Daphnia pulex: one gene and its partner. The protein of the gene in region 1 binds, or shares a complex with, the protein of each later gene. Links are inferred from orthologs where the notes say so. Each region holds a gene or a part of one and is shown on either strand. Other genes may lie near its edges.

Region 1 (6,469 bases):
TCCATACCCTTGCATTAACTCTTTGTTACGAGTACCATCGATCTAATAAAGCTTGAAACCTCTTTTCTCTCTTCTCTTTTCCCATTGCGCTTCAAAGCCTTCAATCTGACGTCGCGCTATTTTTACTAGAAACAAAACCTGATCTCGATAAAATTAATGATACATTTTTTCTGACTCATTTTACACATTTTTTTTTCTTCCAATGATTTTATTTTAATTCGTCCGAACGGTAAATTAAAATTTTTTATTCCATCACTTTGCAAGTATCAAGCTCATAAATTATTATTAGTTTTTCATCACTGAAGTGATTTAATAAAAAGAAGTCGACTACAAGCAGTCTTCATAAATAAAATGTAGCAATTAATCAATTACTGCTGGAGGGCTCCACTGATTTTGTGCAAAATTGTCCGTTGACTATATGTCCGTTTCCATAGACGACCTGCTGTAGCTTGGGCTTACACTACTGCTGTTGGCCAGAACTTTGCGCCTGTGAGTATTAGCAGCATTTTTCTTAGAACTATTGCTGGTGCTCCGCACGGTTACCGGACTGATCTCTGATTCTGTATACACGAACACCTTAGGGTCTCCTAAAGGTAAGTTAGACTGACCTAGAAATCCATTGAATTTTTAAATGAATGGCAACTTATTGCTTTTTTATTTAATGAATCTGAGTTATACTTTTAATTGATTCAGGTCGATTTGTCGACGGTTCTCCTTGACAAAATATGCAAGTGTTTCTCGTCTTTTCTCGTTCCCCGATGAAGTTAGGATACGTTTGTGTTCCATGGTCTACATATTGCAACCCATTATCCATGAATGACATGGAGTGAGATGAATGGAGACCATTATTACAATTTAACTGTAAGCTGGATCCATTGATTGATTGATCGTAAAGCTCTAATTGTCTTTCATTCAGCACTTTAGCCATAGTCTCGACAGGCACAGTAGTATTTGTGTTAATATCCCCACCATCATCGTCGTTATCATCTTACAAAAAATTACTTATTAGATCAATTTACTTTATTTAGCTTACTTTGACATACCAGGTATTGAGTATATCACAGTTGTTGAAGGGAAAGCAGAAATTGGGACCCGAATAACTTTTCCTTTCTTCTCTGGTTTATATCTTGGGAGAAACTCTTGTTGCATATGGAACTTTGCTTTATCTTGAAACTCTTGTGGAAGCTATAATAGTAATACATGGATAGATTAGTGATTTTTGTAACTTTAAGATTTAAAGTTGCAAATGAAAAGAATCTGACTCTTTTCTTTTCACATACATTTTCAAGTTTGCATTCAGAAAAGCTTGATGGCTTGCAATGGAGCAATTGGATGGCAACAGAGATGTCTAGTTTAAACCTTTCCTATATAATTAAATAATGGTAAGATTTGTAAAATAATGAAAAAGTGACTAATCAAACTTACATTTTCAGTTACCAATTTTTTATTAATTCTCTGGAATTCTTCTAATTGGTGGTTGAGTGATGAAATAGTATGGACCATTGAGAACTTTTCTGTTTCGTATTTATTGATATTTTGAAGAAGCTTCAAATTGAATATAAAGAAAAAAGCAAATTAGTGTTTTGCTGCTACAGTTGTTTGATATATGAAATTTGTACAAACAAGTTTAAATACCTTTTCTTCTAAATTTTGGTTAACAATCAGTAATTTCCGGTGGCCTTCTTTCAATCGTTCATACTTGTTCTTAAGGTCATAGAGCTCACGACTAATATCAATGATATCGATGACAGTTTCCGTTTCCTCCATGTATATTAACCAACTATGTCAATCAGGTAAAGTAAATTTATAAGAGATTAACAATGAAGAGATTCTACCGCAATGACTTAAATTGTACAAAACAAAAAAGCTGGACCACACACAAAGCAGTAGAAAAACGTCAGCACACCGAATATCCACGTCAAAACAAACTGTCAATAATAGAATTGGTCAGCGACAGCGCTGCCAGCTTTTCGATAAAAGGATTTTGTGATCCGTCCTTTTCGGTTTTTCCAGAGTTTTCCGATTTTCCGCAGAGAGTGGTGAAGCTAATTTCTAAGCAAGTGAATCTGTGACCCATCGGAAACTTTCAAGATTCACTATCTATCTTATACAGCTCATTTTGCCGTAAAAGGAATCAATGTAGCAGTTATATCAAATTATCAATGGGAATATTAAAAATAACAAGAACGTCTGTAAAGTGAACTTCCGTAAAGAAGGCTCTAAAAAATTAAATGCGATGGACAATTAAATAGTAACTTTGCTAATGGTTTTGTTGGCAAAAGATAGTGTTTGACATTTCCACATTTCCAGATTTTATTGCAAATAATTTTTGGCAGAAAAATAACCATACCATATTTCAAACTCATAAACAGAACAAAACACAATTAGAAAAAAGGTCAGAAACCTGATCACTAAGTTACGACTACGACTGAATCATCGAAAAAAAAAAACAAGAAAATGATAGTGGCCATGGTCAATCCATGTTCAATTGTAGAATTTAGATAACGAATGGTTGAAAATGATTAAGAGATTTTCGAACCAATGACACAGAAGTTCCGAACGGAACTGAATTCCAGATCACTGCAAAGTGTGAAATACACTGTGCTAATTATCTATAAATAAGAGTTTTTGAGCATATCAAAGGCAGTTAAGTTTAGTAACTGCAAGGATTCTCAACGTCTGGTCGAAGCTGGTACTAGCAGCCAATCCGAGTTTATCGGCGTTCCAGTTGAAGGACGTTATTGGTTGCTCAGCTACTCCAATTTCATGAATCATTTTCAAGTTACCAGCAACACCCTCAAGAGTCCCGTCGGTTGCTTTAGCGCTTCTTTTAGCTGGATATTCACTGATCATGAAAGAATTATTAGTGAGTACTCATGCGCTATTTACATTATTTTAATCTATTACTATTGCCATAAGCACAATGATCCATTCCCACCAGTAGTCATTAAAACATCTCGATTTTGAGGCAAGTGGTTACCGCTCCAAACCGTTGACTTGTGTGCCTAAACAAAATTCTTAATGCTGCAAACATTATTTTTAAATGTGTTTCTAAAAAAATTACTTTTTGTCGGACAAAGGCATAACCTTTAGTGGGATGTTTTGTGGTTAAATCAAACACAAAAATACGCGAATCTAAAGTGCAGACAGTCAGCTTATTCTGCTCGATGTCCTTGCGGTCAAATTCGATACTGCATATCTGTTTAAAATAAAAGCTAAACTTTAATATAGGGGGAAAACAAGTAATATGTAAGTAGTCAAATTTTATTACGCCATTTCCAACATTAGTTTCCCATTGAACTTTCATTGTCTTCAAGTCAAAGATTTTGAGGTCACCATTGTCGAATCCAGCTGCTAAAAGTCTCTCTGAACTACTGTAAGCACCTCCTATTAAATTTTATTAGTATTCATGTCAAATTTGGGCATTATTATGCAACTGGTCCTTACCAAAGGCTACGGTCCAACAGTCGTGTCGCGTTTGACCTTCTTCTGGTTCAAGAATAGCGACTGGACGGTCTTTTTGACGTGCATCCCAAATCTTTACACAACCATCTCTACTGCAAGTAGCCAATTCAGCTGCTCCTTTTCCAACATTTATCCCCCCAACCCCATCAATATCATTGATTATTGAAGTATGTGCAATGGCTGAATATACTGCTGAGTTTGGTTTCTCCAAGTCCCTAGAATGAAGGAAACTTTAAGTAAAGGAAAATATAAAAACCACTGATCTTTAAACTCACCACAAATTCAAATTCCCACTAAAGTCTCCAGTGGCCAAGTGTCTGTTTTCAAAAGATGATGCTGCAAATGTCCCACATTTGATAGCGAGTGGTTTCTCAACCTAAAAAGAAATATCCAACTGTTAAATAGACTTAAAATCTTTCAAAATTTAGAAGAGACAAAAGGCATAATACTTCGGTAATAAGCTCAAGTTCTCCTTTAGACAGACTATATATTTGCCAGACTCCCGTTCCTTTTGGGTGGGAGCCTAAAACGACCACTCGAGCACTGCATGGCACCCATTTGACACAAAACAGGGTAAAATTCACCGATTTCTCGTTCAAAATAAGGATTCGGGAATTTGTCATTTTTGTAAGTTATAAATTCTACAAACCACTGCTATTCAACAATAACAAACCAAAAAGCCGACTACAGTTTGATTGACTGTCAACATTTTCGTAACCATGACAATAAAGGTTGTCAAATTATATTTTTGAATGACAAAACTTTAAATGAAACCACAAAAATATTCAAATATAAAAAATATAATTGTACAAAAAAATTAGATTTTTTAGTTTCAATTTGTTTCAAATTGAATTTTTTTATATTTAATAAAGTTTTTCCATTGTGCCATCTAGGCACTTGAGTTGAGCAGCTGTACACCTTCTGCTGTGTGGAAGAGTTTGGTCGTGTAGGCTACTAATGTCCCGAAGTCTGAATAATTTTTAATTATTATCAATATTGCTTTTCTAGTTTATCTTTATCTTTCGATGATTTGGATTTGGAAGTATTGTGGTTAAGGAACAGAAAGCCAAAAAGGAATATTAAGTACAGCATTGAGAAGGGTCTAAACATTTGTGAAGTTATGGTTTCTAGTTATAGTGATCTGATCTAAGTCACACCGCAGGCCCGAACTGATGAAGAAGAAATGGCACCTAAAAAGAAACCTAACCGAACGAGTAATAACCACCAGCCTTCGGAACCAGGCCTTGTGTCTCAAACCAATTTAGACAATGAAAACCCTGATTCATGCAAGAACCATAAGTTAAATGGTCATTTTTCTACTGGGAAGCAGATTGTTGAAGAAAATGGTGTTCATATTAATGGATGCAATGGAACTCATTTGTCAGATTCTAGTGAGAGTTCAAGTTCCAATATTCACACATCTAGTCCAGAAGAATGTACTAATTTGGATTCCAGTTCGACTGAAGTGATTGGTGCCTCCTTGAAGCGATTGACAGTTGGGAGTGGTCCCAGTGATCCCCCAAGTGAGGACAGTGGTGAGAATTTTACTAAGAACTCATCAACCAGTACACTGGTTAAGAAAGTGACTTATGTACAATATCAGTCTGAGCTTCAAATGCCTGACATTATGAGGCTTATACAGAAGGATTTGTCAGAGCCTTATTCTATATACACTTACCGCTATTTCATACACAACTGGCCCATGTTATGTTTCCTAGTAAGCAATATCATAGTTATTCCTTAACTTCTAGAGATAACTTTTCATATTTTAAAATAATAGGCAATGTATGGAGAAAAATGTGTTGGAGCAATTGTCTGCAAACTGGACGTCCATAAGAAAGTTGTCCGGCGAGGTTATATCGCTATGTTGGCCGTGGATGAAAAGTACCGACAAGAAAAGATAGGTATGTTCAAAATATTGTCAACAACTTAAAATGCAATTTCTAAAAAAAAAAAATAATATTGTAACTTGTGAACAGGATCCAATTTAGTTATGAAAGCTATTGCTGCCATGGTTGCTGACGGAGCTGATGAAGTTGTTTTGGAAACAGAAATTACAAACGAACCTGCACTACGTCTGTACGAAAATTTAGGCTTCGTTCGCGACAAGAGACTTTTTCGGTACTATTTAAATGGTGTGGACGCTTTACGTCTAAAATTATGGCTTAGGTAAAGAATAACACATCATACTGTCCTCACATTGAAAGCCTTGCCCGTATTGACGTGTTCTCATTAAAGGGTTTAGTTTATTCTATCTATCCCGGTTCAGTCTTTCCCTACCCTTTTCTGTCAATCATTTCTTGTTTGTTTTTTAATAGAATTGTCCTACGAACCCTATCTCTTTCTTTCCCTTAGCTGGGAAACTTTCACGGCTAGTCTTGGTTGTTTACCTTACCCCATTCTTTATCCCTCTCGGAACTTGTTTCTTCGGAAGCTTCTGTCCGCGCCAGTACTTTTTCAGTTGTCTCACTTCACCAATTTCGGTTTTAAAGCACCGGAGATCGTCTCTTTGGAAACCAATACAGCACAGATGCTGAACGACCTTCACACAATTGTTTCGCGAGTTTGTACATAAATGACGGGTTTCTTTTATAGCCCCGTGTGGTCTTGCAGCCTTGTATTATCGTGCAGCCATATTTCTTCTCAATGAAAGTAATTGGCTAATACTTGAATTTTCTAAGCCGCGTCCATGCTTTTCTCTGAAAAAACAAAACACAAAAGCTGACTGGTTCCTTCAATAGTGTGCTTTCCCCCCCCCCCTTTTTTTTTTGTTTTCCCCATCTTCAGGAGTAAAAAGCCCACTACCCAATTGGAATAATCATCCTTCAAACTGGCAGTTTGTTTATACCGCGTTTGATGTGCAAGTGAAATACACCATTCGTACGAAGAGAAAATTAGTTAATTTTGTTTGTGTTGTTTATTGTATTCTCACCATTGTATTTAGTTTCGGGATGATTTAAATTTTTTCTGATTCTGTTGCATCGATGTCTTGACTTTGACTGAG
Region 2 (5,219 bases), on another chromosome or scaffold:
GCCCAGGAGAAATATTTAGGCCAAGTGGATGCAATTACAGCTGTTCTTGCCGTCCAGTTGGGCATGATAGTAAGTGGTTGAGTTAACTTTCTTTTATTCAACCCAACAATTGAATGATGTCATATTATTTTTTACAGAAAGATGCGGAAGCGATGTGCGAGCAATCTTTATGCTACGACCTTCTTAGCCGAATGTACCAGGCTTCTAACCGATGGGACGAAGCGTTGCAATTGGCCCACACTAAAGATCGAATCAACTTGAAACGGACTTACTACGAGTACGCTCGTCATCTCGAAGGCGAAGGTACGTATCTTGTTAATCTTTTTCTTGATTAGCTGCCATGATTAGGTTATAGCACTTCAAAAATAATTGATTTTCTATTTGTAGGAAATACTACGTTAGCGCTCCAAATGTACGAAAAGTGTCAAACCCATCATTTTGATGTCCCACGAATGCTATTCGAAGATACAACCGCCCTTCAGAATTATTGCACTTCCAGTCAAGACCCGTACATTTTCTAAATTTTTATTCCTCGTAAAGTGACGGGGTTATTAATCAGGTTATTGTTGTTTGCTCGGTAGAGAACGACTTCGTTGGTGGGCTCAGTTTCTGGAAAGCAGCGGAGAGATGGATACGGCGCTAGAACACTACGCCAGGGCTGGAGACTACCTTTCACTTGTGCGGCTTCATTGCTATTTGGGCGATTTGAATCGAGCGACCGAGTTGGCTGAACAGAGCCAAGACCGCGCAGCTTGCTTCCACGTCGCCCGGCAACACGAGGCTAACGATAACATTCCCGAGGCTTTGAAGTTTTTTGGCCAGGCAGCCGCCTACGGTAACGCTGTCCGTCTATGCAAAGTATGTAGTATTCATATCATTCCCCTTTTGAGAGAAAGCACACTTGACTTTTTTCTTTGTAAATAGGAACACGAACTGGATGACCAGCTGTACCGATACGCCATGCTGGGCGAACAAGAAGAAATGATTGAAGCTGCACGTTATTTTGAAGGTTCATCGGCTAACAGCGATCGCCAACCGAGATTCGATCGAGCAGTCATGCTGTACAGTAAAGCTGGACTTCTTGATACTGCCCTCGATTTGGCTTCTAGGTAATATCTTGCATGAAATGTATAACAAGTGAATGTTTGGCTTATTTTTCTTGCGCCCTTCAAAGAACGGAACAGCATGAAGCTGTATTAGAATTAGCTCGACGTTTGGACAAAAACTCGAATCCTGCATCACTGCAACGTTGTGCTGATTATTTAGCAAGTCATCGCCATTATGATGCAGCTGTAGATTTGCTTGCCATGGCAGGAAAGGTAAGATTAGAATCTCGATATTTTCTACGTCTGAATCTAAGTCTGAAAGGGAATTTATTTTACAGAATTCCGATGCAGTTGACATGTGTTTGAAATACAATGTCACGTTGACAGAAGCGTTGGCCGATCAACTCGTAAATGGGGAAAATAACAGCCGATTGCTGACTCAACTGGCTGAAGTTGCTCAACGCCAGGGTGACTACCAGTTAGCGGCAAAGAAGTTTACTCAAGCAGGAGATAAAGTAATTGATCTTTGGTTTTTATTTTTTTGTTTGATTTCTTTAACTAATGGGAAATTTGTATCTAGTATCAAGCGATGAAAGCTCTCTTAAAATCAGGCGATACAGATCGAATTGTCTTCTTCGCAAACGTGTCTAGGCAGCCTGATATTTATATACTTGCTGGAAACTATTTACAAACCCTCGACTGGCGCTCCCACCCGGAATACGTCAAACACATTGTGACCTTCTACACGAAAGCTAGATCGCCCGATCTCCTTGTCGGCTTTTATGAAGCCTGTGCACAGGTTTGTAAATTAATTATTGGTTATTAACTTATTATTTATCTAAAAACTAAATAGATACGGCAATGTGTTCTTATTATTAGGCCGAGGTTGATGAATACCAAAGCTACGACAACGCAATGAACGCATTGAAAGAAGCGCACAAAATTATGTCCAAAACTCCTGAAAGTAGTCAATCAACAAGATCTAAAGCACTTTATATGAAAATGGCTTTTCTGGAGCAGTTCATTAACATCAGAAAAATGTCTGCCACAAACCTACAAGGAATTTCTCAGTTTGAAAGTATCTTACAATCATCTAGCATGGATTTAGGCATTTTGAAACCAGGAAATGTTTACTCTGCTATTTTCCAACTTTATGTTGATCACCAAATGCACAATGAAGCCCTCCAAACTTTGAATGGGATGAAAGCAACTGTTCCAAAGTTCATGAATTATTTGGATCCTGACATGGTGTCTCAATTATGCCTAATTCAAAATGTGTCATCAACATTATATCTCGAACAAGGTAACCAAAATGGAGAGGAAAACTCAGAGGATATAAGAGAAATTATTAATCACAGAAAATAATTTATTGATGATATTCAGACTTCACTTAGAAAGTGCTTGCATTATAATCTCAGCTTCTTTAGATATTGGTTTTAAATCAAACCCTTTCAGTTCTGGTTTCCCTTCAAGATCTCTCAAATGTTTCACTTGTTCTTTAAGCTTGTTGCGATGTTCAGATATCTCTTGATCAACCTCTTTTAACTCTGCAGGAGAAAGGCGACAATTTGAATTAATTTTGTTGAAATTTAAATGCTAATTTTAAATACCTCGTTCCAACAAGTTTTGCGCCTTGGACGTCCTTATTTTTACGAATATGTTTCCAATCGACACCCATGCCTTTTCACTAGGTTCCAAGCCATTTTTCAAAGCCCGAAAAGCTTCCCGTGTTTTTTGGCGCTTGAAATCCAATGCTACTATCTCGTCTCTGGTGATAAAAATCTCTTGGGCAGCAGCTTCAGTTTGAAGTATCAACTGTTGTGTCTTTTCGAAATCCATGGCACAATCTTTTTGTTTAGTTTGAAAGTTTGAAGAGATTGTTCTTGTTTGCTGTTGTATCGTCTGCTATTCATTTGCCCCATTGCCAAAATTGACGAACAAAATCAAAAGAACCAAATTTTGTATTGTTTCTCTGTCTTCAGTAATTTTGTTACCTTTTATTTTATTGTAACTGTTCTGCATGATATCTTGAATATTAGAGTTTGATTCAAAACTGATAATCATTAATCAATCAAGCGCAATTTCAGTGTTTAACGTGTTAACACTGTCTGTCGACTGCTCTGTGAGAAAGAGCTATCGGCAAGTGGCTCAAAAACAACAAAACAGATGAATACTCTAGTTCGTCTTCTACCTGAATCGTGTTTGCAAGCGTTAACTGCGGCATATTTTCGCTGTACGTCTACAGTTTTTATTTGAACATTATTTTGTCAACAAATTGAACATTTTCTTAAAAATTATTCTTTGTAGTTTCTGCTTGGAGAGCCCTTGGTTCAAGAAGTCACAGCCAGCTCAAAACTTGTATTGACTCAAAGATGAAAGTCCATATCATTCCAGCTTTGCAAGATAACTACATGTATTTGGTATGCAAACTTTTTGGATTCGGCTTATCACATGTAAAATACATTTCATACTTAAACTATAGTTGGTGGATGAGAGCTCAAATGAAGCTGCAATTGTAGACCCAGTAAACCCTAGCAAAGTGGTTGAAATTGTAAATCAGGAAAATGTGAAATTGACCACTGTTCTTACTACTCATCATCATTGGTTTGTTTTATCATTAGTATAGTAAATTTTTAATTTAAATGTTTGGGATTTTGTTTTTAATGACAGGGATCATGCAGGTGGCAATGAAGAATTAGTAAAACTTGTTCCTGGGCTTGCAGTATATGGTGGAGATAACCGTATTGGAGCGTTGAATAAGAAGGTTTCTCATGGAGATAAACTTCAGGTTGGAAACCTAGAAATTCAATGTCTATTTACACCATGCCACACTTCTGGGCATATTTGTTATTATTTGCCCTCAAGCAGTGTCAATGGACAATCAGCAGTATTCACTGGTGAGTAAAACTTTGAAAATATTCTAGTGGTTAAATGAGTAAATATTTTCAATATTGTTTCTTCAATATTAGGTGATACTCTCTTTCAAGGAGGATGTGGTAGGTTTTTCGAAGGAACGGCTGATCAAATGTATCATGCATTGATCAATGTCCTCGGCGCTCTTCCTGATGATACTCGTGTTTACTGTGGTCATGAATACTCTTTGCAAAATCTAGCTTTTGGACTTCATGTAGAACCCAATAATGAATTCGTTTCCAAACGTATATCTTGGGCCCGAGAGCAACGGGAAAATTCCCAACCTACTGTTCCTTCTCTATTGAGCGAAGAAAAGCAGTTCAATCCATTCATGCGCGTTCACGAACCCTCTGTTCAAAGTCATGCTAAACAAACCGATCCTATTGAGACGATGAAATCCTTGCGCACTGAGAAAGACTCATTCAAAGCCAATGTATGAAAATCATGCATGTTCAACCGACATTTTTGGTATAATGTTGTCCTTCAATATGTCACCATTATATTCATGTTTGATACTAACTGTACATGTCATCGGGTTATTTTCCCTTTGAAGAGTTTTATAGCTTTCGTCACACTTGATCGCGGAAACGCATGTTGAAAATACATATCTACTGCGACGGAAGATTTTAGATTTTGAATAGTTTGCGCATTGCTGCTGATTTTTACGTGAGATATTTTCCATTCCTTGCATAACAATAATGCTTTTTAGACCACTACAAAATTAATCGACTCAACATTTCCAACAGACCAAGTATTTTTAGATAGAATCATAGAATGTGGTGGGAATGTCTGGTTATGGATTACCGAGTTAGATGTCGTTGATGTAGAACATGTTAGCGGCAAGCAACCGAGTCGAAGTAAAAATGGTGTACGTTCGTCTATAAGTTGGTGAGTAAGTTAATTATTTTGTGCTATTTTAAGTATCTTAATGTATAGTTATTAACTGTTGTTAAAGTATTGAGCTTTTATGTGTTTGTTGTAGCCTATTTAGTTTTATAAATATCAGCACAGACTGTGATATCAGTGCCACTTTCAGTTGTACTTGTGTGCAAGTTGAACAGCATTTCAAGCAATTTTTCACCTTTTTATTCATTGTATGCAAGTTTTACATAATCTAGACTAGAATCGTTTGATGCTGTGATTCGAGCAAGGAAAAACTTGTTGAGTGAGAGTTGTAGTTTGGTGGATAGTGAGTTATGGCGCTTGGTTGATGAGGTTGATCCGTTGATGGTCTTAGGATCTTGTCCTTTAGTTTCAATC

Evidence for each region. Proteins that work in one complex are often made in the same cells at the same time.
Region 2: dynein axonemal assembly factor 10-like (region 1) and p53 and DNA damage-regulated protein 1-like share a complex: the UniProt entries of both Homo sapiens proteins name them as parts of the PAQosome complex. The link is inferred for Daphnia pulex from reciprocal best matches to the Homo sapiens genes DNAAF10 and PDRG1.

Annotation. Positions count from the first base shown.
Region 1 is NC_060027.1:3,760,799-3,767,267, reverse strand, and holds dynein axonemal assembly factor 10-like, read right to left. Parts: upstream 4,195-6,469; 5' UTR 4,089-4,194; coding exon 3,915-4,088; intron 3,842-3,914; coding exon 3,741-3,841; intron 3,681-3,740; coding exon 3,448-3,680; intron 3,388-3,447; coding exon 3,272-3,387; intron 3,200-3,271; coding exon 3,065-3,199; intron 3,006-3,064; coding exon 2,908-3,005; intron 2,846-2,907; coding exon 2,638-2,845; 3' UTR 2,289-2,637; downstream 1-2,288. Other genes in the region: uncharacterized protein LOC124208227, read right to left, coding at 415-608, 679-987, 1,044-1,185, 1,281-1,364, 1,426-1,545, 1,636-1,767; N-alpha-acetyltransferase 30-like, read left to right, coding at 4,649-5,182, 5,246-5,369, 5,445-5,638; ESF1 homolog, read right to left, coding at 6,406-6,469. UniProt on the Homo sapiens protein: Key assembly factor specifically required for the stability of axonemal dynein heavy chains in cytoplasm.
Region 2 is NC_060023.1:8,879,267-8,884,485, reverse strand, and holds p53 and DNA damage-regulated protein 1-like, read right to left. Parts: upstream 2,886-5,219; coding exon 2,657-2,885; exon of another isoform or gene 2,594-2,656; coding exon 2,433-2,593; 3' UTR 2,412-2,432; downstream 1-2,411. Other genes in the region: intraflagellar transport protein 140 homolog, read left to right, coding at 1-69, 138-303, 388-508, 582-858, 925-1,109, 1,175-1,319, 1,385-1,561, 1,627-1,845 and 1 more; hydroxyacylglutathione hydrolase, mitochondrial-like, read left to right, coding at 3,213-3,279, 3,354-3,466, 3,529-3,650, 3,717-3,943, 4,016-4,398. UniProt on the Homo sapiens protein: May play a role in chaperone-mediated protein folding.